Linked DNA regions of Mytilus edulis. The protein of the gene in region 3 purifies or fractionates together with the protein of the main gene of each other region. This does not show direct contact. Links are inferred from orthologs where the notes say so. Each region holds a gene or a part of one and is shown on either strand. Other genes may lie near its edges.

Region 1 (7,550 bases), on a different chromosome or scaffold from region 3:
TGAGGGCAGTCCAGTCATTTTGAAAAGGAGGGGGGGGGGGGTCAACAATATCATCATTATCATGTCCCTATTCAAAAGCATTGATCCTAAAACAGGGGGTGGTTACAACCCAGTAACAAGACATTTTGACACCAAAGTCTGAAGTAATTTTGGCATCAGTTTTCGACAATTCGGGACCAAGACAAGTCGCCACTTCATTTTTAAAAATATTATTATTAAGAAAAATAAAAGAATTGTTGCAGTAATATTAGATTTTGTAGATAAAATATGCATTACCGTAATTGGTTGTGTATAGTCCGCACTTTTTTACCTTAAATATGTAATTTGAACAAGGAATTTCTACAACCCCTGGTTCTGCCACTAATGGAAGGTCATTTTTTATACTACACTTCGTCTTGAAGACACTGACAAGTCCCTGTGGAAACCTCAATTTGGTTATTTAAACCTTCATTTCATTAAACTCTCACAAAATATACAACTATAATATTAGTAATCTACAAATGTATGTGCACAGTAGACATGTATAGAAATTAGGCATAAATGAGGGATGTAAATTATATGCCCTTTACTGACAGGCATCAAGCGGTAATTTTTTACTACCTATAGTGTCAAATTGGTTTAATTTTACTGTGATTCGTCAGATGTCTCAACAGTCAGGGGACTTACAATGTACTGAAATAAGTGATTTTTAAATCACTTATTTGAGTAGCAAATTCGAGGTTTTGTCACAAATTGGGATTTTGTAGTTTTTTCAAAATTTTAAACACATAGGTTTAAAAAATATCTTTTTATAAATTAGTAAAATTAAAAAAAATGAACTTTTTGCTTCTTTTAAGTAGAAAGGTTTATGCCTTTGATGCTATCATTTAGCTGAAAATTCTATTTTAGTTGAAAAAATGCTATAATAATGGCTTTACATAATGAACTGATATTTTCTTAAAAGATTTTTCCCAGCAGTGGGAGTATTTTTCCTGTGAAGTTCAAGGTTTTATCTTTCAGATTATCATTATGTAATAAAATTCTACTGTTCGCGATAAAAATTTCACTGTTCGGGGATGTTGAAATTAGTGGGGGTTATTATAAGAATGATACTTAAAGAAGTGATTTTTTTGAAGGAAATTGAGGTCTGATACTTAAACAAGTGATTTTTATGTCATTATCCTAGATTCAGTACAAGGTCATCACCTGAAATGACCTGGTCATCCTAGACAACACAGATGTTGGTTCTGATAAGTTTAGAAACATAATTAGTCCCTGGATCATTAGTATTCTATATTTAAAGCTACAATAAAATTAAATCACTTCTTCTAGTGATTAATTTGTACTACTTAAATAGGTGATTATTAAAGAAAGACAACTCTAACTTCCAACCTTTATGGAAATAATGTTACTTGAATCAGTGATTTAGAAAATCACTTATTTAAGTAAGTCCCCTGACTGCTTCATAAAGACTAAAGACTCAAATAGTTATCATCACCATTATTTTTGGAAAAAAAATAGCTTGATTCGTCAAATTCAGATAATTTTATCGTCTAAAAGAAAGTGTACAATTAATCGTCATGCACTAAAAATTACTGTTAACGTCATTTGGCAAGAATTTTTACCATTATCGTCGTGTCATATGTTTTCGTATGTCATATGTTTTCGTATCAACCACATTTCGTCGGTTTCGACTGCATACGCGTACATTGTGGCATGTTTTTCTGTTTCTATATTTAGAACAACAACACCACTACAACTTGATATATTTAAAACATATTCAACGTCGCTTTTTAAAGACGTTAGAACAAATTAAATAAAACTGACCTATTTAGCCATTTTTATTTAATGTCAAAAATACGCATCACTAGAATAGTTGTGGAAAAAAATTCTGAAGGGTTAAAATAAAGTCCAGATATGTTTTTTGCAAGTCAGACACCGGATCTTCAAGACGTATGACTGTCATGTGTTTTTTTGGCCGTTTTAATTACAAACCATCGAGTTAAAATTAGCAGGGTTCTTATATAAAATGGTTGTTCAAAATCTAACTATTCAATATTTCATTGACAATTTTTTTTATACATCCTTGATACATGAAGATGAAAACAGTCTTAACTTTTTATATTTAATCATAAATTTTGAAAACTGCATTTTATTTTAGAAAAAATAATGTATTTTGTACAAACCAGGTGCCAATCTGAAATTAATCAAAATCCGTAAAAATTTCATCACACGAAACACCAACCTTACACTTTTTACTAGTAATTTTTTGTACTGAAAAGTATTTAATAACTTTTTTTAAGATTTAAGCGATCACCCGAACCACGACTTTAGAAAAAATGTATTTCCGGATTTTGTAGTCATTTCCTGTCCGTGTACTGATCCAATTTTTATTTCATACGAAAACATATGACGCCGTTTTTTTGACATACAAAAATCGCAAAGTAATCGGAAACAGTAAAAAATCGTAGAAATCATTGACAAAAAAACTAGATACCTAAAATCAATCTACAGGACATGCTTTTTAAATTTGAGTAAACACCTAAATAAAAACTCAACAGTAAAAACCGTAAGCAGTGAAAATTGTTATTAGTACGAAAACACATTACACGATGATATACGTCATGAAGGTACCCCCATTACTACCCTCATAAATGTTTCAACAGTTCAAAAACAGAGCAAAATGAAATTGCTCATCCTCATTCCTGTGGGAAGCAGGACAAATCGCCACACTAGCAAAACGCCCAACACCAAATCGCCACACTTTTTCACAAACTCGCGATTTGCCAGTGGGGCGATTTGTCATGGATTCATTCATGTGTACTGTTCCTATGACTTAAGGCATTAATTACTTGTTGTCCTAATGACTCAACAGTTTCTTTTATATTTTTATGAACATCTTTTAAATCTGATAGAGTCTTTATATTTTGGTTCAAGTATTCTGTAACGTGGACATTCTTCTCTGATTTTGCCATCTGTGAAGAAAGGGATTGTTTACATAGTTGCTTCCCTTAGAAAAAAATAGTTGACATACATCGTACAAACGCTTGACGCGAAGGTGTTAGATTAATGTAAAGCGTCTAATTGATCTGTTCACGTGACATAGTTTTTCCAGCGGTAAGTTTCGTGAAATGAGAAAGGATTTTTCTTTAAAACCATTTACTCTTTTGAATGACACATAAAACTGTAAAAGTACCCTCACATATTTGTACGATTTTATATATACAACTGTTATCTTTGAATAGATTCTATTTTTTCGTGTTATCTTCGTTAAAACAAGAAAATCATGAATGGTTCTTTGCCTAAATGGAAACAGGATATCCAAGTTATTCTTTCTAATCCGTGGAGTAACTATTTCAATGACATGCTATTGAAAACAAAGCTGAATGATAAACATTTGAATTACCACAACCCCTTCAGACTAAATCCCTTTTTCCTGGTTAAGGCCCCATCCTGCATCCCAGACTCAAATTGTTCAATGATTGTTAATAATTTTAACCTTATCAATTGGGTTTTATTGTAAATACTGTATGTAACCAAAGGGGACTAGATTTGTAATGTGACCATAGGTAGGCCCACAGAGTTTAAGCTTACTGTAGACTGTTAGAAACAAAACTCAATTATAAGGAAGAAGATTCTTATTAGACTACCGACTAGTCTATTTTTATAGACCAAATAATTTACTTCTCTGAGTTACTTAATCTTTTGACAAGATAACTAAGAAGTGACTAGTCTGTGTGACTTTTTCCCAAAATTGAAACTGTAATTTGAAGTAAAATCATGCTTCCAATTTGCTGTTGGTAAAAAAATCAATTGTTTTCCAATAATTTTGTCATATAAAAAAGAAATTACTGTTACAATGTAGTTTAATTTTTCACCAAAGTGTCATCCAAAGAAATGGAATCATGAGACATTAATTTTTTGCACACAGCACCAGTGACCTATACTGCTATCCCTGCTCTGGGGTGGATCCAGCCATTTTGAACATTTCATTGTTGTAAAAACATCTAAAGGGCACCTGCCACCCTCACTGGTAGAGATATAAAAGGCTGATTATTGTTATATAAACAAATTTTGTGTTATAATCTTAATAGTTAAGGATGTAAATGTAAATGTAATTATGCTTAAATTGTATAAACACATACATGTATTAGTAATTGACAAAACTTGTCAAGGTCATTTTTGCTGAAAAGTAAAGTTTTACAAAATCATAAACAGTTTGACTTAGCTTTAACATTTGTGATTAAAGGGAGTACTGACTGGTACCTTTCCAAAATTGCATCCCTATTTTTGAAGATGTTTTTGAAGGAATTTATATAGATTTCCAACATGTCCAAAAATAAAAGGAAAACAATTTTGTTTTGTACCCTGCAATATAAACATTATATTGAATAGCTGGAGGCATGTTAAAAAAAAATGAGACACTATTTTTGTGAATGGTGATAATTAAAGCCATTGCTTTAATTAATAAACCAATTATTATAAACATTTGACTTGAATATTTTTTTCTTCATTCAAGTTGTATTATTTGGCAGCTAATGAGTTATATTTTACTAATTGATCATGATATAAAACATTATCCAAAACTTTAGAAAAAGTAATGTTTATACTTAAAAGAGGTTTATAAAGAAGAATTAAAATCCATTTTGGAGTTTCTAAGTATTTAATCTTTTAAGACTTTGTTGGAGTAATAAAAGTCAGACTCTAATATAAGTATCTCATACCTTTACTTTTTAAATTAGAGACGCATGTTAGGGTTCCTGTTGAAGGTGGTTGATATTTGAAGAGAAAAAAGGTAGAGTTTGCTTTAGATGTTCTATTTTAATATATGGTTAAAAAGAAACAAAAAGGGCATTTTCTTTTAATTTAAACTTTCATTTTCTTTCGTTGAATAAAAATTTCTATAAAAAAAAAAATTGTACAGATAAATAACGATAATATTTATTTAAAACTATTCCATTTCTTCAATAATTTATAACTGCAAATAGAATTACTTTTAATCTTATGGACTACACATAATAATTTCAAAGGAGAAATAAACAAATATACTAAATTGTTTTAACAGTAGACATGTAGAAATAGGAATAAAAATAAAATAAAATAAAGAAATACAAAAGGACCTTTTAGGAGTGAAACTGGGTAACTATTTATAGAGACTGAATGATATTCTTTGGCTTTATATTAATTAAAACCTTGTGGTAAAACAATACAATTTGTTTTATGTTTGATGTTGCATATAAGTTATTTATTAATGACTACCTGTATGTGGTTGGTTAGAATACATTTCTCAAAATAAGGTTTAGGGCTTTTCAAGTGTTTACAATTTGATCACCTGTTTAAAGTATACAAATTTCTAAAACAGTGCCCTCAAAATGGAACATCCTGTGGTTGGCTCCTATTTTGCATGTTGTAATGTTTTCTTTCATAAATTACTTGAAACACAAATTTGCTCAAACTAATGGTAGTCTACATATAGTTATGTTTAGGATCTATAGATGTTTTCTACATGTACAATGTATTATGTTTATGAGGAATGATTTACACATCTTTATATTATAATTCTCCGATCTTTCAAACCAAACAGGCAATTATGTTCAGGTGCATTTCTTTTAGTAGAAAAGCTACTTGTTTATTTATGTCTTCTTTTGATGAGTGAACAAACTTATTACTGTGACTTGAACGAATAGCAATTTGTTTTATCAAATCAAACTTCAACTTGTTAGAAATTTTTTCCAACTGCTAATGGGAAATACAGTTCAGTGGCCAAAGAACAAAGCTGCCAAATTCAACCGAAAAGACTAAAGAAAATTTGTTCTCTGTTGACCATTCAAATTCATGATTTACCTACATCCACAACATGAAGGAAAATTTGTAATTCATGTAACCAATTTCAATATTTATCAATAAATTTGTATGTATTTTACTTTTGCAGTTGAACTAATAAGATGTCTGGCATAGCTGTAGGAAGACTGAGTGAAGAAAGAAAAGCTTGGAGGAAAGATCACCCATTTGTAAGTCAAACTATTATATATTATTATAGACTAAAAACAAGAAAATTATTTCATAGAATTACATTAATGTCATTGAGTTCCTTGTTGTATTGTTCAAGAAGTATTGTAAATAAAAAAGTGCACTGTATTTGTCATTTTAATATTCCTGTAACAAATATTCTGTAGGATTTAATTTATTTTGAGGGAGAGTATGTTGTTATATTATTTTCCTTTGCAGGGTTTTGTAGCCAGACCAACCAAAAATCCAGATGGAACATTAAATTTATTGAATTGGGAATGTGCAATACCAGGCAAGAAAGGGGTAAATAATGATTTCATATATTTTTTGGAAAGATTGGAAGCCAGGATAACCACTAAATATATAAACACTGAAATTTGGTTCCCAATACTCTCATGACTCTTGTATATATATATATATATATATGTAAATATGCACAGATGAACTGTAAAGCATTTTTCAAGTACTTTTTTTTAGTTTTGTCAATATGCTTACTAGTTTTATCTTTCTAACCCAGACTAGGTCAAACCAAATACATGTAGTTGAAAATTGATATTTGAAGCTTTTATGCTTAGTACATTGCATTTAGGAGTAGGAGCTATGACTGGTCAGAATAATGATTCTTTGTTGTATTAAATGTATTCCTGAGGACTGAAACCTTGTTACCTACCTTGTTTAAAAACCAGCTCATTATTGTACCTAAATCCCCAGTCCCACTAGACAACGATCGAACCACGCTCACCGCGATCTAAAATAAATTCAGATTGTGGTGAGGTCGCGGTATGAGCGGCATAAAAATGTAATTTTTCGTTGCTTTCACAATGCTACTACATCCTCATTACCCTTCTACAACAATCCCGCTACGATTATACCACGTTCTCATTGCGCTTATCCTGCAACCTCACTACACTTATCAAGATCTTTCGACGCTCATCACGTTCCCACTACGACCATATCACGAGTTATCCGATTGCACCACGCTTCTACTGCGATTGTGGCATGCTCTACCACGATTATAATACGTTTATACCGCAATCTTACTACGCTCTCAGTTCTCAGCAATAACGTCAACATGGTGTTTCATATATACAGTTCCATTCCTTCTATTTCTGATTAATACGTAGATTTCTTAAAAACAATACAGTCATGCCACCAAAATCTACTAGAACACGTGGCCGTGGTGGTAAGGGTTGATGTAGAGGCAAAGGGTCACCTTAAAGTAACAGATCCTGATCCAGAAGAGATGTCGGACCAACCAATCCAACCTGAATTACAACCTATTGCTGGTCCATCAAGTTCAAATAACGATATTTTAGTGAACGATAACAGAGATGACACAGATGTGTCAATAGATATAGGAAGATGTGGTATGAGTGTTAATGAGACAACTCTCCATCCAAGTAACAATTTAAAAAAGTAAACCATTATAGTTCAAGGTACGGCCTTCAACACGGAACCTTGGCTCACACCGAACAGCAAGCTATGAAGGGTCCAAAAATTACTAGTGTAAAACTATTCAAACAAGAAAACCAACAGTCTAATCTATATAAAAATGAGAAGCA
Region 2 (7,110 bases), on a different chromosome or scaffold from region 3:
CAGTAGTTAATGTTATGATCCATAATAATTCCTTTTGAAATCTGAATGAGGAGTAATTTTCTGAGTTGGCAGCCCTAATACATGTCATATATAACCAGTAAAGAACTTAGGATAGGGTTTAAAATGGTGGCCATTTCACATTTTGCAAAACAATAATAATTGTGGCAATTAGAAATTAAGAAATACAATTGTTTGAATTCTGCTATCTTGTTAAATTTGCTTCAGGTTTCTCAGACTTTTTCCTTAATGAGACAATACTCGTCATTTCACCTTTTAACAGAAATAACAGCTGAATGCATTTTGTAGCATTTGGCAACAATGGACTTAAATAATGAAGGTATTATTAGTATGGCTAATGAAAACATGTGGTAAAATGGCTGTACACGTCATCCAAGCTAAATACTGTTATAACAACTACAAAATGTAATTGTTTGAAGAAGGTACTTCACATAGTTTTATTTACTTATTTTATGACTCAATTTTTACTTAAGGGGTTAAAGTATCTATAAGGATAATCTCTTATTTTATTCCTTGTCCTTCAACTAGACCATGTAGACAGGACATATCGGACTGATGATAAACTGAAGTTGAATCCTGTGTTCCCAGAAGTCAAATTATACAGTATCATTAAAAAATTATGAGAATTTTTTGTTCAAAATTAGAGTTCATTTATTATGATGTAGGTTATAAAATAGATATGTACACAAATGTAGAATAGTAATTAAGAAAATTTGCAAGGGTTCCACAAAACCCAGTGTCTAGTCTACTTTTGCTGTTAATCGCAGGCTCAACAAAAATGAGGAAAAAAACCAATAAAAATATCGATTGTAAGAAGCTTCTGTCCAAGTTGGGTAAAAATTCAGGATAGTTTATGAATCTAATTAATGTTTTAAAAAACTTTAACTGAAAACTACATGTAAGTCCATTTACAAGTAAAAAAACAGATGTATACACAAGGACAAAATTTTAACAAAATTTCCTTCTAGATACTAGATTTTGATCATGAACGAGCTTCTGTACAAGTTTGGTACAAATCCAAAATAGTATAACTGTATAAGAAAGTTATTAAAATTCGAAAAACTTTATCCACAGAGTGAATATTTGTGGCCGACAACGACGCCGACTGAATGTAGGATCGCTATGTCTCGCTTTTTCGACTTAAGTTGCAAGGATCGACAAAAACAACAAAATCGTTCAATTTTTTTGATGTCATGTTTTTTAATTCCTGCATCTGCGCAAAAATCTACAATGTTCTTCCTTTTACCGGTCTGGTTTGTATGAAACTTTGAGTAAAATATATATTTATCAGTCTAGTATAAAATAGGAATGAACGCAAAACCAATTTCATTTTTAATTATTCCTTGATATGAAAAAACGTTACATGATGATAGCATTTCTTTGTTTACATTGCATATGAGTCATAACATAAGTAACGTCACAACTAAAATCCCTAACAATAGAACCAAAATCGGAAAGGTTACTGTATTTCTGTTTGTCCCCATTTACAGGTAATGTGCATGCATTATGCCTGCCTCATATTATAGGGAATCAATAAAGTGTGACTTGAGCGGGCACCCTCTTAGGCAGTCAGTGAGCCCCACTAATGAAAATTTCAGGATCCGCCACTGTAAACTACATTATGTATATAAATCTTCAATCTTCAATCTTTGTCGTGATGACAGAGTAATCTCTCTTGTGAATTACCCTCTCTTGTAAAATTAATTTCACTAATGTAGTTTCTCCTTTGTACTTAGATATTGTAGGTGGCTCTTTAAAAATATTATAGAACTATATAAATGTATCACTTGAAGAAAAAAAAAAAGGTTAATTAGGTTATTGGAATGGCATGAAAAATTAAAAAATATTAAAAATTAAAAGAAATTTGTATTAAATTAAATTATCCACTTAAACTGTTTGTTTCCTCTATGTACTCCGCTAATAGTTGACTGATATTTTCTGCATTTGGCAAATTGATTGTTAATAAATCGTCTAAATCTGTTGGAATTTGTCCTGTTATGAAGTATATTTGATGAAATAATTTGTCTCTGGCATCTGATTACAGGTCACATTCAAAAAGGTAGTGTTGTACATTTTCTTTTTCTTTGCAGTGATCACAGGTTTCCGAGTTGATGTGCTGGTTTATTATAAATTGGTATGCATTTAATTTAGAATAACCTGTTCATAAACTGTTGATTATGTTGTACATTTTTTTGACGGGTAGTCTTTTTTTACTTTATTTTTAACTTCAGGATGAAATCTGAAATAATGACAGCCAGCATTACTGTTTTCCCATCTGCGTTGCCATTTTTTTGTAACAGAATTTCTAGCTGCTTTTTTTACATCTTGTTTTGTATACACTATGTCATCAACTGCTAGTGATTCTGCTTCTTTAGCAGCTTCTTTTGCTAGGGAGTCTGCCTCATCGTTTCCTTTTATGTTGGCATGTCCTGGTGTCCAGTTTAAGTTTATTAAAATTCCATGTTCATTTAAATTTTTTATCTTCCCTTTGATTTCGTTAATGGTTTGATGATAGCTGTCACTTTTCCAATTAAGAGTTAAGATACCTAAATTATGCGGTCTGACTGTCCGAAAATAAAGTATCAATTTGCTGTTTTGAAAAAGATTCTGTGTAATCGAGTACAATTTTCATTGCTATAAGTTCAGCTAGCAAGATTGATCCTTTGTTAGAGACAGGTCTTTTTAATTTTTCTTCTTGATTATTAATGTAAATTATAGCTCCTGCACCGCATATAAATCTGGATAAAACATATGGCCACATTTCTTCACGCGATTGCAACATTAACTTGGGTGAAATAAAATATCATGTGTTACCTATTGTAAGCAAAACAACTAAGATTGCTACTATGATGCCTATGGTAGTTGGATCCTGTTTCTGGACATTGTCAGTCAATATATTTGCGTACTGTAAAATTTGTTCCTGAATGCTGGCTCCCATGTTGTCAGTCAACGTCAACTTCCGGTGTGAATAATATTAAGACCAAAGACGGAAATGTAAGCGTATTCCGATTTTCCATCGAAAAAAGACGTAAAAAGGCGGAAACAACCGAACATGTCCGAATATGTGAACGTTTCTGAGTATAGGATCTTTACGGATCAGACCAAGAATTTGTAAAGCGACGCTATACAAATCCTTGATCAGACTCACTTATTTTCATTTGCTCTCTGTTATAGCTTACGCTTTTTAACACCATAAACAGACTAATATATTTCACTTCATATTCTCAACCAAACCTATCATGAAACAGATTTATTCTAGAAATAGATATGTATATATTATACCGTATATCCATAAGCATTGGCGGATCCAGGGGGTTCCGGGGGTTGGAACCCCCCCTTTTTTTTTGGCCAATCAATGCATTTGAATGGGAACATATAGTTAAAACCCCCCTTTGTCCTGGGTTGGGACCCCCCCCCCCTGTTTTTAAATGGCAGGATCCGCCCCTGATAAGGAATATACTTACAATACTGTTGGAAAGTCATTTAGGATGACATATTTTGGTATAAAATATTGATTCACTCATTGGGTTTCACATTTGCATAGGAAATAAACTGAAATTTTATCACAAAGCAGCTGTTGGTATGATACGGATTATGTTCTTCTCATATATTTTATGATGGTATGATACCAAACCCCTAACGAGAGGGAATGTGCTTGATTTTCACATGATAAAGACCTAATTTTTCTATCTGTTTAATTGAGGTGTAGCTGGAGCTGGCATGTCAGTGACTGCTGGTTAGTCCTTTGTTAATATATGTATCATTGTCACTTTGCAAAGTTTCTTTTGTTACCTTTTCTGACATCAGACTCGGACTTCTTCAGTTAAAACGATGTTTAAATAGTTACTGTGCGTGTTGTTATGTGTTTCTTTACTCTACATTTGGCTGGAGGTTTTAGATGGCTCAAACAAACATGTTTAACCCTGTTGCATTTTGCGCCTGTTCTAAGTCAGGGGCCTCTGGCGCACGCCTTCGTTAGTATTGTATGCTTTTTTCCCAATTACATTCTCAAATTGATGTTTTGTCTAGTCTATTATAAAGACTTGTATTGAAAGAGGCCTTTATCACATTACCATTCGATCGGCTTGTCCCCAATCATCATTTTGTATTTCTTATAGCAAAACCGTATCATACTTGTTTTGAATAGTTGATATATATAAACAAACACGATTGAATAGAAAACTTACAAAATTACATGACCATGACCAAAAATTATTATTTTGAATAAGAAACTAACATTTTTATCCGTTAAAAAGATCCGAAAACAGGAAACTGGAATATGCGTCCAATTATAACTTTATTTGTAACACCATTCACACAATTGGATAAGGAAACTGACACTTTATGACCACAGTTTTTAAAGTAGTATATTATCATAAATCTATTGCATCAACAGTTGCCAGTGTAGCAAATAATCCTTATCCAACATAAGACTGTAAAATGTCAAACTTTAGATATGATCCCTTTTGTCATGTTATAATAGTCTAATATCATTAGTCAGTTTTGTTCATTGGTTGTCGCTTGATGGTGTGCTTCATTTGTTTTTCTCGGTTTTTTTTATATATATTAGACCGTTGGTAATTTCCTGTTTAAATTGTATTACACTAGTCTTTTGTTGCCCTTTATATCTTGCTGATGATCGGTGTGAGCCAATGCTCCGTGTTGAAGGCCATACTTTGACCCATAATTGTTTACTTTTCTGGATGGAGAGTTGTCTTATTGGCACTCATATGATGTCTTCTCATTCAGTCTACTCAACCTCATTCAGCGTCAATAGGTTGTAAACTAGAAAACCAAGTAACCAAATATGATATTTTTTTATTGTTAACATTGATATAAAATTATAAATACAGAAATCCGATATACATAACTAATTTCAATTAATATGAAAATAAGAAGGTATGACATATTGATATATCAATATATGCAGTTCCCGGATTAGACATAGGCTTCAAGTTATCGGAAAGCATTTTGTGTGAATACCAGTCGACAAAGCAGACAGCAATGAGGTAGTGCCTGACACAAATATTACGCTAAATATTGTAATATTACCTTGTCTTATCTCATTATTTACTCGGAACATTTGAAGGGCCTCGCTGTATTGGCTTCGTAAATAACACACAATTCTCGTCCAATATTGTTTCCTCTTAGCCCCCCTCTCTCTATATATATATATGGTAGGCGACCACTTGTTGTTCAGCAACCTATCGGTCTATCCCTTTGATAGATTCCCTGACTACTATTATAGAACTTGTTTGAATGATTATTCTAGCTTTAAGTAGAGTTGGTTGTTCTGGACTAATTAAGAGGTAGACATGCTGCTGATAACAATCTATACCAATTTTCATTTTTATGCCCAATTTATTGTTTTATTCTGTCTGTGCGTCCGTTCGTCCGTCCCTCTGTCCCGCTTCAGATTAAAGTTTTAGGTTTTTGATAAAGTTAAAGTTCAATCAACTTGAATCTTAGTACACATGTTCCCTATGATAATTATGATCTTTCTAATTTTACTGCGAAATTATAGTTTTGGCCCCAATGTCACAATCCACTTAACATATGAAATGACAGTGCGAGTTCGGTATCCGTGTACTAGGACACATTCTTGTTTTTCTCTGCTTTGTATTGACCAAGCTGAGCTTTTGAGCAACAAATGTATATTGATATCGTTAAATGAAATGTCTGACTAGATGCATCTGGGACCAAGTATATAGGATAGTTAAATGCATAAGTTCTTTTCATTGCCATAAAAATCATTGACATTTAAACCCGTAAGGTCCCATTTTTACAGATTAACCGTTAGTTTTCTCACTAAAATTGTTTATATATTTATTGTTTATGTCAAAGCCTTTCATAGCCGAATATATACGGTGCATTTTCCCATATTGTTGAAGGCCGTTCGGTTGTCTATAATTGCTTACATCCACTTCATTTAGACTTTGGTTAAATACTTGTCTCCTTGACAATCATAACATATCTTCATAATAAATATTTCAATAAAGAATTTCTATTCACTGTAAAAAGGGAAACAAGCGATTTTGAATTTAACTTATGTTGTTGCATTTCTAGTAAATTGTGTTTTCCCGTCATGGTTTGTAATGCATGTTTGTATATACACACACTAAATGGAGTACTAATACTGTCCAGTCTAATTATTATATATAGAGCTCTGATTTCGTTATACTTCATATGGAGTATAACGAAATCAGAGTTCTATATTTTAATAAGACTCAAGTATAATTGTCCTGTGTCTTTTTTGATTCAATAAAAAAATGTGGACGTATAAAATAAGAGGATTTGATATGATGGATGAAATAACCATCCCACCGAGTTTTAAACCGTGCAGCCTTCAACAATGAGATAGATCCTCAATCAAGCAAGCTACAAGTCAGAATAAGGGCTTTGATACTGACACGATTTGCATCTATTTTTCCGTTTGCTATAAAATATATTATAGGGGCTTTGCATCGGAATTAAACACATTTATTTAAAAATAAACAATTTTATCACAAATCAGCTGTTGGCATGACACGGGTTATGTTCTTCTTATATATTTTATGATGGTATAATACTGAACCCCTAACGGGAGGGATTGTGCCTGATGTTCATATGATGAAGAAATAATCTTTCAATCAGTTTAATTGAGGTCTAGAGCTGGCATGTCAGTAACTACTAGTAGTCTGTTGTTATTTATGTATTATTTTCTTTTGTTACCTCTTCTGACATCGGACTCGGACTTCTTTGGAACTGAATTTTACTGTGCGTATGGTTATGCCTTTACTTTTCTGCATTGGCTAGAGGTAATTTGGGAGGGTTGAGATCTAAACAAAACATGTTTAACCCAGCCGTGTTTTGTCCCAAGTTAGGAGCCTCTGACCTTTGTTAGTCTTGTATGATTTTTAATTTTAGTTTCTTGTGTGTAATTTGGTGTTTAGTATGGCGTCCATTATCACTGAACTAGTACCGGTATATATATATTTGTTTAGGGGCTAGCCGAAGGACGTCTCCGGTCTGGAGAGTTTCTTGCTACATTGAAGACCCATTGGTGACCATCTGCTGTAGTCTGTTCTATGGTCGGGTTGTTGTCTCTTTGAC
Region 3 (7,273 bases):
ATTGTCAAAAACAGCTCATATTTATGTAGCAGAATCATTTTACTTTCCAAAATAAAGCTTATGGATTACATTTTCACAATTTTCTAAAACTGCTATATTTTGGGGCCAAAAAGGGGTCTTACTGAACATACTCCTTTCTGTTATTTCAAGGAAAATGTCTTACACACTTGCCAGATTTACATTATGTTTTCACGGTTATCTCAAAATATTTTATCAGTCTGCTCAACATTGAGATTATGAATGTCAAACTGTATTTAATGTTTAAATATAGCAAGATGCTTATTTTTGAATTGACTGATGTTTAATGTTCTGTTAGTAATCTGTTGATTACATTCAAGATCATAACATGTAAATGTGATATGAATATGAACCACAATCTAACTAACACACAGCAGTCATTCCCAAGATTGCAGAGTTTAGTAAAAATGAGTCTGATCCAGTAAAGAGATATGCATTACTGAACCAAATAGCAAGTAAAATTTAAGTTTTGACCTAATCATGCAGGGACTGCGCTGTGCGTCGTCAATGTCGCAATTTGTGATGTTTTATTTCATCGGGCGACAAAAACAGCTGCTGGCGATATTTCTGGCCCCAACATTTAAAACATGTGAAAATTTTCATTTCTTTTGACAATATTGATCTTCATTTTAATTGGTAAAAGTTAAAAAAAAAAAAAAAAAAAATTCTACAAAATTTTACCTGGCGACAAGTTTATGACTTTGTTTACAACCCCATGTTAATCAACAGTTACAACAGGTGTCATAATCTGTTGTTACAGATCTGTTTATCGAATGGGTCATTAATGATCATCCACATTAATTAATTCAAATATATATACATTGTAATTGGTCAGTCGGCATTTTGTCTATTTCATTTGAAGAAATGTTCATACAACAACACAATTTCCAATGTTTACCGTAGTTTTGATTCATGTGTGTAAAAGACTTATAAAAAAAAAGAGTCTGGTCCAGTTAAGACAAATTGTTTACTGGAACAAATGTGCAATGATTTCTCAAAGCCATGGGAAAGATTTATGTTCAAATTTAGACTGGTGTTACTTAATTCTAAAAATTATTGTATTCTGTTTATTTTAACTATTGTATGTGTACATGGTGTATCTCTATGTATGTGTGCCTATGTTTTTAAGATAATTCATAGATCACTCTTGGCAAACTTTTCAATCCCTTTTGACATCATTGTTAAAATAAGTATGGTTGCCTATAATTGCTCACATCCATTTTTTTTTACCTTTGGTGCAAAGTCGTCTCATTGGCAATTCGACCACATCTCCATAATTCTACAAATGTATATGTGTAGCGGTAAATAATTTTGTCATATCTAATTACCTGCCTGCATTTACATAATCCTTTCTGTGCTTTAGTAGAAAATCTTTCAACTGTGTAATGGTTGATACCTAAGAAGAATATTGAAACTATAAAATAACTGTTCAATGTGGGTTATAAATCAAAACATTTCAGGTAATATCAGAATTATTTTACACAATCTTGAAATACCATTAAAATGTTAAAAGTACAAATTGATAAAGATTTGCTTTTTTTTAAACAATAAGAGTCAAAATAAAATTGAGAATGGAAATGGGCATGATGAGGAATATGTCAAAGAGACAACAACTTGACCAAAGAGCAGACAAGCCACCAATGGGTCTTCAACGCAACAAGAAAATTCTGCAACCAGAGGTGGTTCTCAACTGGTGTACTAGTTCAGTGAAAATTGACATAAAAAATCAAGATATTGAAAAATTTAATTTTTTCACAGAAAGGAAAAAAAATGCCCATCAAAAACCAAGAAAGATTTTATCTCTCTTAACCCTTTACTCCATGGATATTTTTTTTTAAATACTTGATTTCGCATAGGACTTTTTTCAGTAAAAAAAATCATCAGGTTTAAAGTGTTAATGCATTGTGAAAACTAATATTTCAGTGATCAATGAAATTCAAGTCAGATATTCTCATGAATCTCCTTTTCATATTGGATAAATTTTTTTGAAGTCTGATGCAGACATTTTGGAGACATAGCGTTTCAACTGAGGTACTACACAGGCGTCATTAAAAGATTATGGAGTAAAGGGGGTGGCGTCAAAAGGCGTTATTATGGAGGAAAGGGTTAAACACTAAATGCATTTAACTTTTATATACATGTGGATGCTAGGCCTTAAAACTTTCCAAACAGCACAGGTAAGTCTGTACACAGAGTAGTTTTTGATGTGAAAAAACAGTCAAATTTGTCCATTTGTTTAATGATCAATGAACCTTAACAGAACAAGCTTTTATAAATAACGTTAAAAAATCAGCAGTATATTGTCTTTTTAAACATCTTGCAGTGATATCTGTATGGTTACGACAAAGTTACCAATTCTCGCTTTAACTTGACGAGAGATAGAGCGCCTATTGAAGATGTTGGAGAGCTGTAATTATAATGCACTGTCTGTTTATATTTATTTATTTGAAATAATTAAAATTTTATTTGTTTTACATTAAATCTGTTTTGTCATTTCTACACTTAATTAGCCTTCTTGTCACCAATAAGAAGTGAAACCCCTTATACTTACCAATCCTTTTGCTGTGTTTTCAAAATCACTCCTCTGTTTTGTGGCAGGGAAAATATTAGTAAATTCTTTCTTTCCATTTTCCTTTGAAATCTTATTTCTACTTTTTATAGTTTTGACTGTCGCTTTAAATAAATTAGTAACATCTGACATTGTGTTGAAATGAGAAAAAGGTAAACAATATGTGTGACAGGTTACATATATATATGCTTCCAACTTGGCACTTTTCGGTTCACAGATTCATATGTCAACAACGACGAACTTATTTTTATTTTTACTTGATTATTACTGGGTAGTATGACGTGAATTGTGTGGCCACTTACAGCAAAAAATATATCATTAACTATCTTATTTATGCAAGATACTTATTACAATGATTGAAAATAAAATAAAAATATGTTGGCAACTTATAGCAACATTTTGGTCTTCAGATTTTGTGCATCTATGTCGATTTTGCGTTTGAAATAAGTACCGATTTTTATTTGATTAAAAAGAACATAAATGACTTTGAAATAATAATGAAGAAAAACAAAAAATGAAAATGTAGAAGTTTAGCAACCAAAATGATTAAGACGGACATTTGCCTTCATTTTATAGTTTTACTCTGTGCTGTTTCAAGTATTGACATAGAAGAATGTTATGAAGACAAATGTGACGAGCTTTACGTCCCTCATGCACCACTTGTTTTTTGTACAAATTTGTAAGTGGTTTTAAAATTAATAATCGGAACATCCTGTCGAGCATGCCGATGAGAGCGGACGTGAAAATTTTTGCAGAGACAATCCTTCAACATCATTGAAATTGTTTTGTCAAATTGATTTCATGGATAAATATTATTATCCTTACATCGTATATTTTATGATTTGGATTATATTTTTTTTGTTGAGAAAGATTTCTGCAGATATTTTCAGGTTTGTTTGAGACATGTAGTCAGATGGGATCCATTAGTAGTTTCCATGTGGGAAACTATCAGACCAATCTATTTGATGTCTGAGGGTTTTAGCTGTTCCCCTAATGGATCGGTAGTTTCTTTCCGAGATCCTTTATCATAGGATTTTCGGCTTTCCTCTACCAGGAATACAGCTGGGCATTTAGCGGTATCGGTTTGGATTCCAAGTATGTCCTCTCCGGTTTCCCGTTCGTTGTCTAGGCATTTGTGCGGCATCCGGGGTGACCTTATCCTTTATTTTGTATATAATGTTTTTTTATAATATGCATTTTTTATATTTTTGAGGATGAGTGAGTCAGGTGAGTGGGTGTGTTCGTATGCTTTATTACATTGTACTTATTGTTTTGGGGAAGGTTAACTTTCTGGTAGTAAGACCCGTCACGGCCAGGCTGGGAAACTGGATAGGCAAATGCTCACATTAAATCTGTATCGATACAGTGTGTTAAATGTCTTCCTTTTTACACCATAACCCATGGTGGTGCTCCTACTAAAGGAGGGAGATACGGAACATACATACATCCCTTAATTAAATATACCTTATTGCTACTACTATTACTGGAAATCACACAGGTTCCCGTAAAATTTCGACGTCATAATACAAATTATCTGACGCCACTGAAACGGGGGTGGAGTTTCCACTGGCTTTTTTTTGTACAGGGAAATAAAAAACACCAAAGATGCAGAACTACTTCAACAAGATCTGGAAACCCTACAAGAATGGGAGAATGATTGGCTCATGGAATTTCATCCCAAAAAGTGCCAAGTCATTCACATTACCAGGGGTTAAAAAATCCACTAGCCCGACGCCCGGGACTAGATCATTTACGCCTCGGGCAATTAAAATGTGTAATCCGATATGCCCGACGGACTAGTAACAAAAAATTCTTGACGTTTCCAAAATAGAAAGTGAAAAATCCCTTCATCACTATTCTATGTTAGCCATTTCGATTCAATTAAGTCATCCGGGATCCAAGAATTTGAACTGGTTTGTACAGGTCCTGTTGTACATATTTTAAACATAGAACAAATAACTCTGGCATGTCTGGGTGGCCTGGTATCATGTGTTGATTCTCGTACTTTAAATATCGATTTCTCATACCATTGATTGAGGTATTGTACATTGCTTATCGTGCCGAGATTTTCGATTAACGTTATTTGAGGGTATGATGTATTGATTGGTATTGACATGTCTTGTTGCACAGCTCTTGAGCACGAAACTATGCAACAAAATATTTCTTAATATATTAGTACGGGAACCCTAGGAACTTTGTCAGTTTCTAAACGAAAAACGGTAGATGAATGGAGTAACGAGGCTGAAAATTCATCCCCCCCAAAATGCTAAACCGCGGAAAAACAATAATAGCGTCCAGGACAGCAGGGCTGTCAAGTCTTTAGCGCGAGACTCACACATGTTCATGCTTATTTGGCGGCATTTTCCTTTGATCTGTTGTTTTTTCTCTTTGATCTTAACAATTTGGCCAACAAAAAACGCATTCACTTCCCGAAAAGTTGGCAGAACTGGGACACAATGATTACCTTGGCTGTTGCTGATGAAAAAAACAGACAATGCTCTGTGAATATTGCCGTTAGTTGCCCCAAGCTAGCCAATAAAAAGTCTGCTTTGAATGTGGGAACAACTTAGTTAGGTTAAGCACCAAAAGAATAATAACAGATCAACAAAAAATATTAAATACAGTGTATAATGTCTCCTTCAAAACAAAGGGCACCTACTTTGTATTGTGCAGCAAACTCTTAATTTTTAAGGCATACTAGGGCTAGCAGGTCAGTTTTTATGGACTAGCAGTTCTTCCAACAGGGCTAGTAAAATCCTGCTGCCAATAAGTCCTGGGCTAGCTAGCTGTAACAAAATTTTTTAGCCCCTGATTACCAACAAGAGGAAACCAATCAGACAGCCATATATCATCCATGGTCACGTCTTAGAGGAAGTAGAATGTGCAAAATATCTGGGGGCCAACATCCACCACAAACTAAACTGGACTACTCACATAGACCAAGTAGTAAGAAAAGCCAACAACACCAGGGCTTTTCTACAGAGAAATATATCACAATGCCCACGAAAGACCAAGGAACTCTGCTACAAGACCCTTGTGAGACCACAGATGGAGTATGCAAGCATCATTTGGGATCCACACACAGCAAACAACATCCACAACCTGGAAATGGTACAACGTAGGGCAGCAAGATTTGTTACTGGTGACTACCACCGAACCACTAGTGTAACAAACCTATTACACCAGCTGCAATGGCCAACCCTACAAGAGCGTAGAGCAACGAATAAAGTTATAATGATGTACCGCATAGTTAACCACTTGGTTGCAATACCAACATCCTGCTTAATCCCAACAGCAGCAACATTAAGAGGACACAACCAACGATTCCTTGTTCCATTCGCAAGAACGCAGCTTTACCAGTACTCGTTCTTCCCAGACGCCATCAGATTATGGAACAGTCTACCACCAACTACTGTAGCCTGCAACTCAATTGACACATTCAAGTGTGAGTTGCAGAAGACCAAGATGTATTAAGGACTGTGCGAATTTTTTAACTGTACATACTATTTTTTAACTGCACTGTAAATATTGGTTTGTCTGCACCACGCATCAGTTCGATAATACACCAGATGGTGGTATGAACTGTATATGGAAGAAGAAGAAGAAGAAGAAGGCTTCGCTGTCTTCCTGTTGTCTACCCAAGTTCTGCTGGGATATTGGACAAAGTATGTAAAACATGTTAACATAAACAAGATGTTTATTTAAAGACATACATATGATTGAATTATAAGTTACATACAAGAAATACTAAAATATACGGTTGTGGCTAGTCTACTTGTCCTTTTAACCATGTTAACATGTTTAAAGTTCCATATTTGAAAGCCAAAACAGTATGAGCTTCTGCTCATTTCAAATCCTAAGTGTAGACTGCCACAAACCTGGTGAGTGACTTCATACTTATAGTTCCTAGGGACAACAAGCCCGGCAGGGCCCAATGTCAGGCACGTGCAAGAAGCAGGAAGTCCTGACAAGAATAATTACATTGCCAGTCTCGGGAGAAAGAGTTACGGAACTATAAGTAATACTAATATTAACCAATTTCCCCAAATAAATAGAATAAACAAGAAAACAAAGTGACTACCGTTACACCACAATTGAAAAGTGATTGTTGTACATGTATGACGTCTATAGTTCAAGTGGCACCGATCCTCAGGTCAGCCAGTAATAGCCATAACATGCATATATAAGGTGTATATTATCCCTAGAGATTTTGAGATATTCTTTTCCTGAAATATGATCCAAATGATTGGTCCAACATGTGTATTGTGGTTGACGTACAACATACTTGGGAGGTCAATCCTCAATCTTAAGGCCTGTTGGAAAAAATTATCTCAATGTGCAGGTTTTCTCAACCGTGTGTTTTGCTCAATGTTTTTTCTTCTCTGTGCTTTAAAAGGGTATGCGCTGGTTAACATTGGGACTAAAGTATCAAATCTGCCAGTTCTGTCAATGTAAGGCCAAGTGTGCTCAGTAGCTTTAATGTCTTGAAGGTTACTTTTCATTAGTGTGGACATCATTCAGACAAAAGACATTTGATAATGTCTTTCAGAAACTCAACTATATTTATATATGGATATTTTTAATGAATAGCATGAACTTCCACCAGGATTGAAAGCCAACAAGTGTACAATAAAGGCAATCAATCAATGATTTCCTTGCATGTTCTTGATTATTGTTTGTGATTGC
Region 4 (7,340 bases), on a different chromosome or scaffold from region 3:
TTAGCACTTCAAGATTGTCACATATTGAAATTGATGTTGCTAAAAGTCAGAAAATTATGCCACTCTGCCTGTATGAGTATGGAAATATAACATGTATAACTTGATTTACAAAATTGAGTAAATATCCATACAATGTATGTACATCAATTATGAAAAATTACATTCCATTCTTCAAATTCTTTGTTTACCTGTTTTTTTATTTTTCTACAATGGTTGTTCTCATTGTCTTCTGATGACATTTTACATAGAGAACATGTTTTTAAAGTTATCAAAAAAGATCGGCAAAGTACAAATGTATTGCAAAACTATTTTCCATAAATCATTAGAAAAACAGAATCCTCATTGTATCTCATCATTTATTGCATGATAACATATATTTAATATAATATGAGTTGGAAATTTTAATAAACTAGAATAAAATAGAAATTGAGTTGAATGAGTACATTAAATTTAGACACTATGATAATCTATGAAGTTAATTTTTTTTATCCCATGCAGAAGCAGCGTATTACTAGATTTCTAGTTTCTTGAACAACATGACATGTGTAACATTTGGAGCAGGAACTTAATTTGATATATTAGATGAAAGAAAATGGTATTGTCTGATTTTGGACTTTGGACTTTTGATTTTTGAAAACCCTACTGGTATTTTTCTTTATTTTTTTACAATGTCAGTTGTATATAACTTTTACACAGGAAGTGTTATACAAATGTATGTAATATTTTTTACAAGGTCCTTCATAAAATTAGCAAAGTAAGTTTTGTTCAATCGCTCAGGTGTTAAAGTAATTGTTGTTTATCAGTGGGTTTTTCCTCATTGGTTTTTAATTATATATTTCCTGTCAGTATTATTTTTATGTACTGTAATATTTATAATGATATCTGAATCAAGTTTATGTAAATACTATCCACAATTTATACTTATACAAAAACAACTTAATGTACCCTGGATAACTGTCTAAATATAAACTTTGAAGAAGGTACATGTGTATACGAATGTTGACCACTTGATCATGTTGATGTTTGATTTTCTTGGGTTGCTTATCATAAAAAATTATTTAAAATCTCCTTTTATCTATGAATATGACAATATATGTTTAGCATGTTTAAACTATGTTTTACTTACTGAAAAATATATGGTCCAGATTCTAAACTACATCTTCCTGGAGGCTGTGGATCGGTTGATATCTTACGGAAAAGTTGTTTAGCTTGTGCCTGGTAGTCCATTAAGCTTCTTCCTGCCTGTATCAAAAAGAGTGGAAAGTTCAGGACAAAGTAATGATAAAATAACTATATGTTAATTAATATCAGCAATGGATATTTTTAAGTCTGTCAGATATATTTGAGTGCTTAAATCTCTAAGTAAATGTTTAAATTTCTAAAAAAAAAAAAAAGTGAAGACCCCCCTTTCATTTATTACGATTTTGTCATGAAACTAGCTACAGTAAACGTTGTAAATTGTGATTGTAGGATAAATTGATTAAAATTGAAATTATGCTGACTGCATGACTGACAAATTAATTAATTTTAGAGTATTGTTATGACCAATCAGATAATCGGTGTACATGTAACAATAAATTTACCACTTTCGAGTTCATCCGTCACCGGCAAAAACTCGTCAATTATGCGCGCCTTTATGACGTCATTTACCAGATAGAGGGGATCGCCTGTATCCCTGTACTATTTACCTTCATCAAGCGTCTTAGTGATCGTCGTTGTGCAGGATAAACTAGAAATAATGGTTGTTCTGTCGGTACTTAATGACAATTCCCTAATAACAGCAATGCTGATTGTCAATTTTGAGAATTTAATTTGCTGAATAGTTCGTACAATATAGAATTATAGTTTTCCAACCACTCGCTCAACATTGAAACGGAAGTGACGACGCCCCTAAACACACAAATGACGTTCACTAAAACCAGAGTTTTTGACGGAAATGCATCGAACTCGAAAGTTGTCTATTATGACACCTGTTGTGACAGTTGATTGACACACTTGTCATAATTTTGTTGCCAGGTTAAAAGATAGACTTATAGAAATTGATAAACTTCAAAATAGGTAACAAATAATTTTTTCTGGTATAATTTGTGATACCAGTAATCGGGATTTTGACTTGTTTTACGATCCCGAAATTGGGTTGGGGCATGAAAATCAGCATGATATTGCCATATACACCTTCTCACTATTCCCGCTTTTTTTCTATTATGACATCAGAATTTTACGGGAACTTTTGTGATGTCCAGTAATGGCAGACAAATAGCGATAAGGTGTATTCAGAATAGTTGGCAGGTCTGTGAATTTAATACTGTCTTAGTCGATGGAATTACGTATGGTCTTAGTACAGTTTGTAGATTGGTAGATGGTAAAAATTGACTTATTGATAGTCTAACACTAAGTTGTCGCTTGGAACGAGTTGTTTTGCACCAGGCTACAATACACCTTATCGCTAATCCCAGCTGACCCGGCCGCTTGAACTATTGTCGCATACAACAATCACTTTTCCATTGTGGCGTCATATATTTTGTATTGTGACGTCAAAGTTTTACGGGAACCTGTGTGATATCCAGTAATGGCGGACAAATAGCAATAAGGTGTATGTATATCTTTTTGGAATTTTGGGAATTGAAGAAGATTCATGGACCTAACCCGTGGCCTGTTGTGTAACTTGTTCTGATCAGAGTGATCGCTTACTTTGACGTGTTAGGAGATTTTGTAATTTCAGAGATAAAACCAATCTATATGAGACATTTGACAGACAACACCACAGCTGTCTAAAACATTATTTGAAATAAAATAACCTGTTCATCCTCTTGCATTGATGCAGCTAAGGGCAGTGCATCTGCAACTCGTGCGATCATGGTCATTAAAACCATTCTGGCAACGATTATATCAAAGAACTCGTTTAATGTACATGTATGATACTAAGACTGCATGTGAGGTTTGTTATGATGGTATAGCTGACGTGGTGCGCTTGACGGATAAATAATTTTGACACTTCCGGTAAACAAAACAATGTACTTCCGGTTCAGACACCCAGCAAGTTTCACTGAAAACCTTTTAAATCGCAAGTCACTGTTCGTTTCTTAGGTAAGACAACTACAGATTTGAGTACACATAAACATGATCTCATTTAATCCCTTGATAACTGTGAAGAAGAAAAAAACGAAAAAAACAGTTAAAAAGAACGTAACGAAAGTGCGCATGAACGTCACACGTAACCACTGAAAGCAATATGGCAGCATTGTGGCCTTTAATAATTTGACAGCTTTCATGACGTATTCTGTCAGCACACACTAATTTGTACAAGTCAAAAGGTAGCTTTTAAGAATAATAATGAGAGAATGCATTGAATCCAAACTGAAAGTCGGGGATTAACGAATTAAGTGATGATGAAAAATGAATGTCATCAGCTGTTTCCCTTTCTTTCTGTTTGTTTATGTTTTTAATTAACCAGTGTTCGAACTAGTAAATACCATGCTTTAAATTCAATCTGATACTTGTAGTTTGATAAAATTAAATTTGAAATTTGTAAACATCTAGATAGATAATGTAGATATACATGATATATAGGTAATCGAGTTTTAATAAAAAATTGATGGTAAAGCTTATAAGCAGGTAAACCAACCCAGCATATGTTACAGCCATGTTCAACTATCGAGAATAATTTGATAAAAGTGGATATATACTGTGTTCTCCCCAGGCAGATATGTATAAATACTTTCTTAGCTGCAACACTTACATTGACCCACTGTTTTCGAAGATAATCCGTAGTGTGTAGTTGTTTCGATTATTGTATTAATTACATGAAGTAGATCAATACACACGAAATGTTGTTACATATTATTTAGTCCATGCATTGTCAATTGTTCATTTTAGACCATTTGTAAGTTTAATATACGCTTCATTATGTTATAAAATCAATTGTGAGAATTAGAGTCAAATTGGTGGACATGGATTTTATAGCTAATACCCCTTTAACATGTTAAGGACAAATAAAATTTTATTGAGTGTTTGTTCAACACAAGCTAATTAACTTTCGAGTTTGTAGCCAAAGTTTACAGGACTATGGAGCAGATGGAAAATAAGTGAATTTTAATAGTGCGATGATATCTGTGATTGTTTTGTTTTTATTTTAATTTTCTATGCATTCCCATTTGTTAAATAGACTTTTTCTTAACAGGTGTTATCTTCCAATGCACGTTTGTTTATATTCTTTCATCAAATTTTTCCCTTCACGCTTGCAGTTCGGCCAAAGTTGTAACGAGAGGTATCATAGTTACATGTAAGGTCATTGCATAGGGGAAAATATCAGCAAATAAATGTATGGGAAGACAATAATTCATTAACATGTTACATATCTGAAGGATGTTCAGTTCTTATACTTGAAAGTTCACATACACTTGTTTACCGAGTAATGGTAAAACTTAGCTATTCTCATGTATACAAAGCATGATTAACTTATTTTTTTAATTCTGAAGTTTTATATGATCATACAATGTAAGATATGCAGAAGGCTATCTATGGTGAGAGTAATATGTTTTGAAATCTTTAGATGTCACTTTCACTTTTATTTGGTTTTTTTTTTTTTCTCTCAGAAATAAACATGTTTTTCAAAAGTAAAAAAATGTAATAAAATTTGAGCATGGAAATGTTCACTTTTAAGTTTTATTTTATATCTTTGTTAAAAGAATATATAGGACCCCTTACTTAAATAAAAATAAACAGAAAATAAGTAAATAGATAAACTACATAGATTATTGAATGTCTTTTTAAGTATTTTCAAAGAAACAATATTATATTTCTGTTTCTAGCTTTTATTCATAACTATCATGACTACCATGACTACTTGAATTTAACTTTCTTTTCAAAAAAAAGGTTCATGTATACTTATCATTATTGTATTTTCAGTATGAGCATAACTAACCCCTGGAACAGTGGTGCAGAAGGGGCAAAAGGAAATGTCAAACTTTTTAATCCAGCAGAATTTCATCAAAATGGACCATCACCACAGACTGATGGAACTGTGACAGACCATAAAAACCAATCCAGTTGGAGCCAGGGATGGGGAAATGACAATCATTATGGACAATATAATGGTCAGCAGTCAGATCAAGGCCTCGGTCAACAAGGTCAAGTACACTATCAAGGTCCAGATCAGAATTCTCAACAATTTTATAATTTAAATCCAGGTATACCACAGCAACAGTCTTATAATCAAGATTTGTCAAATGACCACCAAGGACAACCTTTTCAATCATACGACCCAGGTCAAGCACAGTCTTTCCAACCATATGACCCAAATCAAGCACAACAGTATGACCCAAATCAAGCACCAGCTGTTCAACAATTTGACCAGCAAGGACAGCCCATTCAGCAGTTGAATGCTGAAGCTCAGGCATTTCAACCATATGGATCTCAGGCATATCAAAATTATGATGATCAGGGTCAATATAATAACCAGAACTATGAATGGAATCAGTATAACTATGGGTATCAACAAGGTTGGAATAATACTGAAGCTGACCAGCAGCCTCCTGGGACAGATATTGTAGAATCAGGCCAAAATCCTGACTTAAATGTTCAAAGTGATAGCCAGTCTCAAAATGTTAATAATGAAAATTATACAAACACTGACTCAACAGAGTTGTACAATACAAATGCATCTAATGCAGGAAAAGTAAATAATGAGTTGGGTACATCAGGGGGAGATAACCAACATATAGCTAGTAGTGATGCTAGATTGTCTAAAGAATTGGACCCAAATTCACATGTACCTCAGCCTGATATTAGTAGTGAAAGTTTAGTAACTTTAAATAGTTCTAGCACACAACTTGTCGAAGATAATGTTCAATCAATTGAAAATCAAATGGGAAATATGTATGTTGAGGAAAAATCAAATGAAAGTGATAGAAAGGTGGAGGACATAAATCATTCCGCAATAGAGGGTCAAGGCTCCTCTGTTGATGGTAATCCTAAGGTGTCAACAGAGTCAAAAGATTCTCCTGTTAATTCACAGACTTCTGATGATTGGGAATTGGTGCCTTCCGATCACAATTTACTAGCACCTAGTAATCACAGCCGTCAGGGTTCTACAGATAGTAGTGCAAATGTACAATTTTTTATAGGCTCCACTAATATATCACCATCAGAGACACCAAATACTGCAGAAACAGGTCATACTGAGAAAAAACCAGCAGAGGGTTCACCTCCACATAACCTAATACCAAAACATTCCTCATCTCCCATGCCTCCAAGAAATAACATTGCTGAAAGTACTGGTCCCCCATCAGTCTCAATAAACCAGCCACCTCCAACAGGACTAGGGCCATCTGGTGGGAACCCCTTTAGAAAGGGAAAGGGTTCTGATAACAGGACTAGCCGTAGTCCTAATATATTGAAGAACAATGAACATGTAAGTCAACCTGTGACTATTTCTCAAAATGAGGGACTAAAGTTAGATATAAAAGCTGCGGATTCAGGATTTCCTAGTCCTATACAACCTGTGACAGAGGATTCCCAGGATCCTCCTACTCAAAGTCCTATCATGCCAAGGAAGGAGAGCCCATTCCAACCACCTAGACGTAGAAATCTGTCACAGTCCAGTAATTCATTTGATGACGAGAATATATCTGATCCTCGACATGTTGGTGGCAGTGCATCAGATCACCATCAGAGCAACATAGATAGAAAATCAGGGGATAGACACGATAGAAAAACTGGACCAATGAAAGCAGATAGAACTATAGGATCTATTTTACCTCCTCAATCAGCAGGTCGACAAAAGGATTCTTCCATTGATTATAGTAGATTTTCAAATCGTGGGATTGATGAAAAAAGACCTCGTTCACCATTGAGTTCGAGTAGAAGTATAAGTGATAGGTTGACTCCTACCAAACCACCCACAGGACGAACAACACCTACAAAATCGTCAAATGGTAGGACCACACCTGGTCGTAATACACCAAGTCGAAGAATGGAACATGCAGCATATCAAAGAGCAATTGAGCGTCGAAAGAAGGAAAATATTTCACCTGCAACCTCACTGTGGGCTAATAATGATATTGTTCCTAAGAGTAACATATTACTTGCCCCTGCTGCTCCAATGCAGGCTACAAGTACTACTCCAGTGTTTGGTATTGTGGCTCCAAAAGGTAGTGGTGGAACAAGAGAGGTCTTGTCCCCTGTTCAAAATCTTATCACAAGTATGAGTGATCACCTGTCTAGAGAGAACTCACCTGAAAAAGATACAAGTAAGTTGAAAACAAATGAAAGGGACAGACGAGAGAGTACACAGAGGGACAGACATGAAAGGAATTCCTCCATTGACAGAGAAATCGAAA

What was found.
Region 1: the proteins of syntaxin-18-like (region 3) and RAD50-interacting protein 1-like purify together in Homo sapiens (co-immunoprecipitation; 6 studies listed by BioGRID and IntAct, counting the BioPlex papers as one, with this or other methods). This does not show direct contact. The link is inferred for Mytilus edulis from reciprocal best matches to the Homo sapiens genes STX18 and RINT1.
Region 2: the proteins of syntaxin-18-like (region 3) and signal recognition particle receptor subunit beta-like purify together in Homo sapiens (affinity purification with mass spectrometry; 3 studies listed by BioGRID and IntAct, counting the BioPlex papers as one, with this or other methods). This does not show direct contact. The link is inferred for Mytilus edulis from reciprocal best matches to the Homo sapiens genes STX18 and SRPRB.
Region 4: the proteins of syntaxin-18-like (region 3) and vesicle-trafficking protein SEC22b-like purify together in Homo sapiens (affinity purification with mass spectrometry; 5 studies listed by BioGRID and IntAct, counting the BioPlex papers as one, with this or other methods). This does not show direct contact. The link is inferred for Mytilus edulis from reciprocal best matches to the Homo sapiens genes STX18 and SEC22B.

The regions. Positions count from the first base shown.
Region 1 is NC_092352.1:32,415,835-32,423,384, reverse strand, and holds the start of RAD50-interacting protein 1-like, read right to left. Parts: upstream 3,009-7,550; 5' UTR 2,955-3,008; coding exon 2,832-2,954; intron 1-2,831. Other genes in the region: SUMO-conjugating enzyme UBC9-B, read left to right, coding at 5,925-5,990, 6,208-6,291. UniProt on the Homo sapiens protein: Involved in regulation of membrane traffic between the Golgi and the endoplasmic reticulum (ER); the function is proposed to depend on its association in the NRZ complex which is believed to play a role in SNARE assembly at the ER.
Region 2 is NC_092356.1:41,361,782-41,368,891, reverse strand, and holds the start of signal recognition particle receptor subunit beta-like, read right to left. Parts: upstream 3,002-7,110; 5' UTR 2,957-3,001; coding exon 2,833-2,956; intron 1-2,832. UniProt on the Homo sapiens protein: Component of the signal recognition particle (SRP) complex receptor (SR). Ensures, in conjunction with the SRP complex, the correct targeting of the nascent secretory proteins to the endoplasmic reticulum membrane system.
Region 3 is NC_092347.1:80,145,810-80,153,082, forward strand, and holds the start of syntaxin-18-like, read right to left. Parts: upstream 3,004-7,273; 5' UTR 2,720-3,003; coding exon 2,570-2,719; intron 1,415-2,569; coding exon 1,347-1,414; intron 1-1,346. Other genes in the region: TM2 domain-containing protein 2-like, read left to right, coding at 3,130-3,266. UniProt on the Homo sapiens protein: Syntaxin that may be involved in targeting and fusion of Golgi-derived retrograde transport vesicles with the ER.
Region 4 is NC_092345.1:3,362,743-3,370,082, forward strand, and holds the start of vesicle-trafficking protein SEC22b-like, read right to left. Parts: upstream 3,023-7,340; 5' UTR 2,874-3,022; coding exon 2,799-2,873; intron 1,243-2,798; coding exon 1,127-1,242; intron 1-1,126. Other genes in the region: protein transport protein Sec16A-like, read left to right, coding at 4,910-7,340. UniProt on the Homo sapiens protein: SNARE involved in targeting and fusion of ER-derived transport vesicles with the Golgi complex as well as Golgi-derived retrograde transport vesicles with the ER.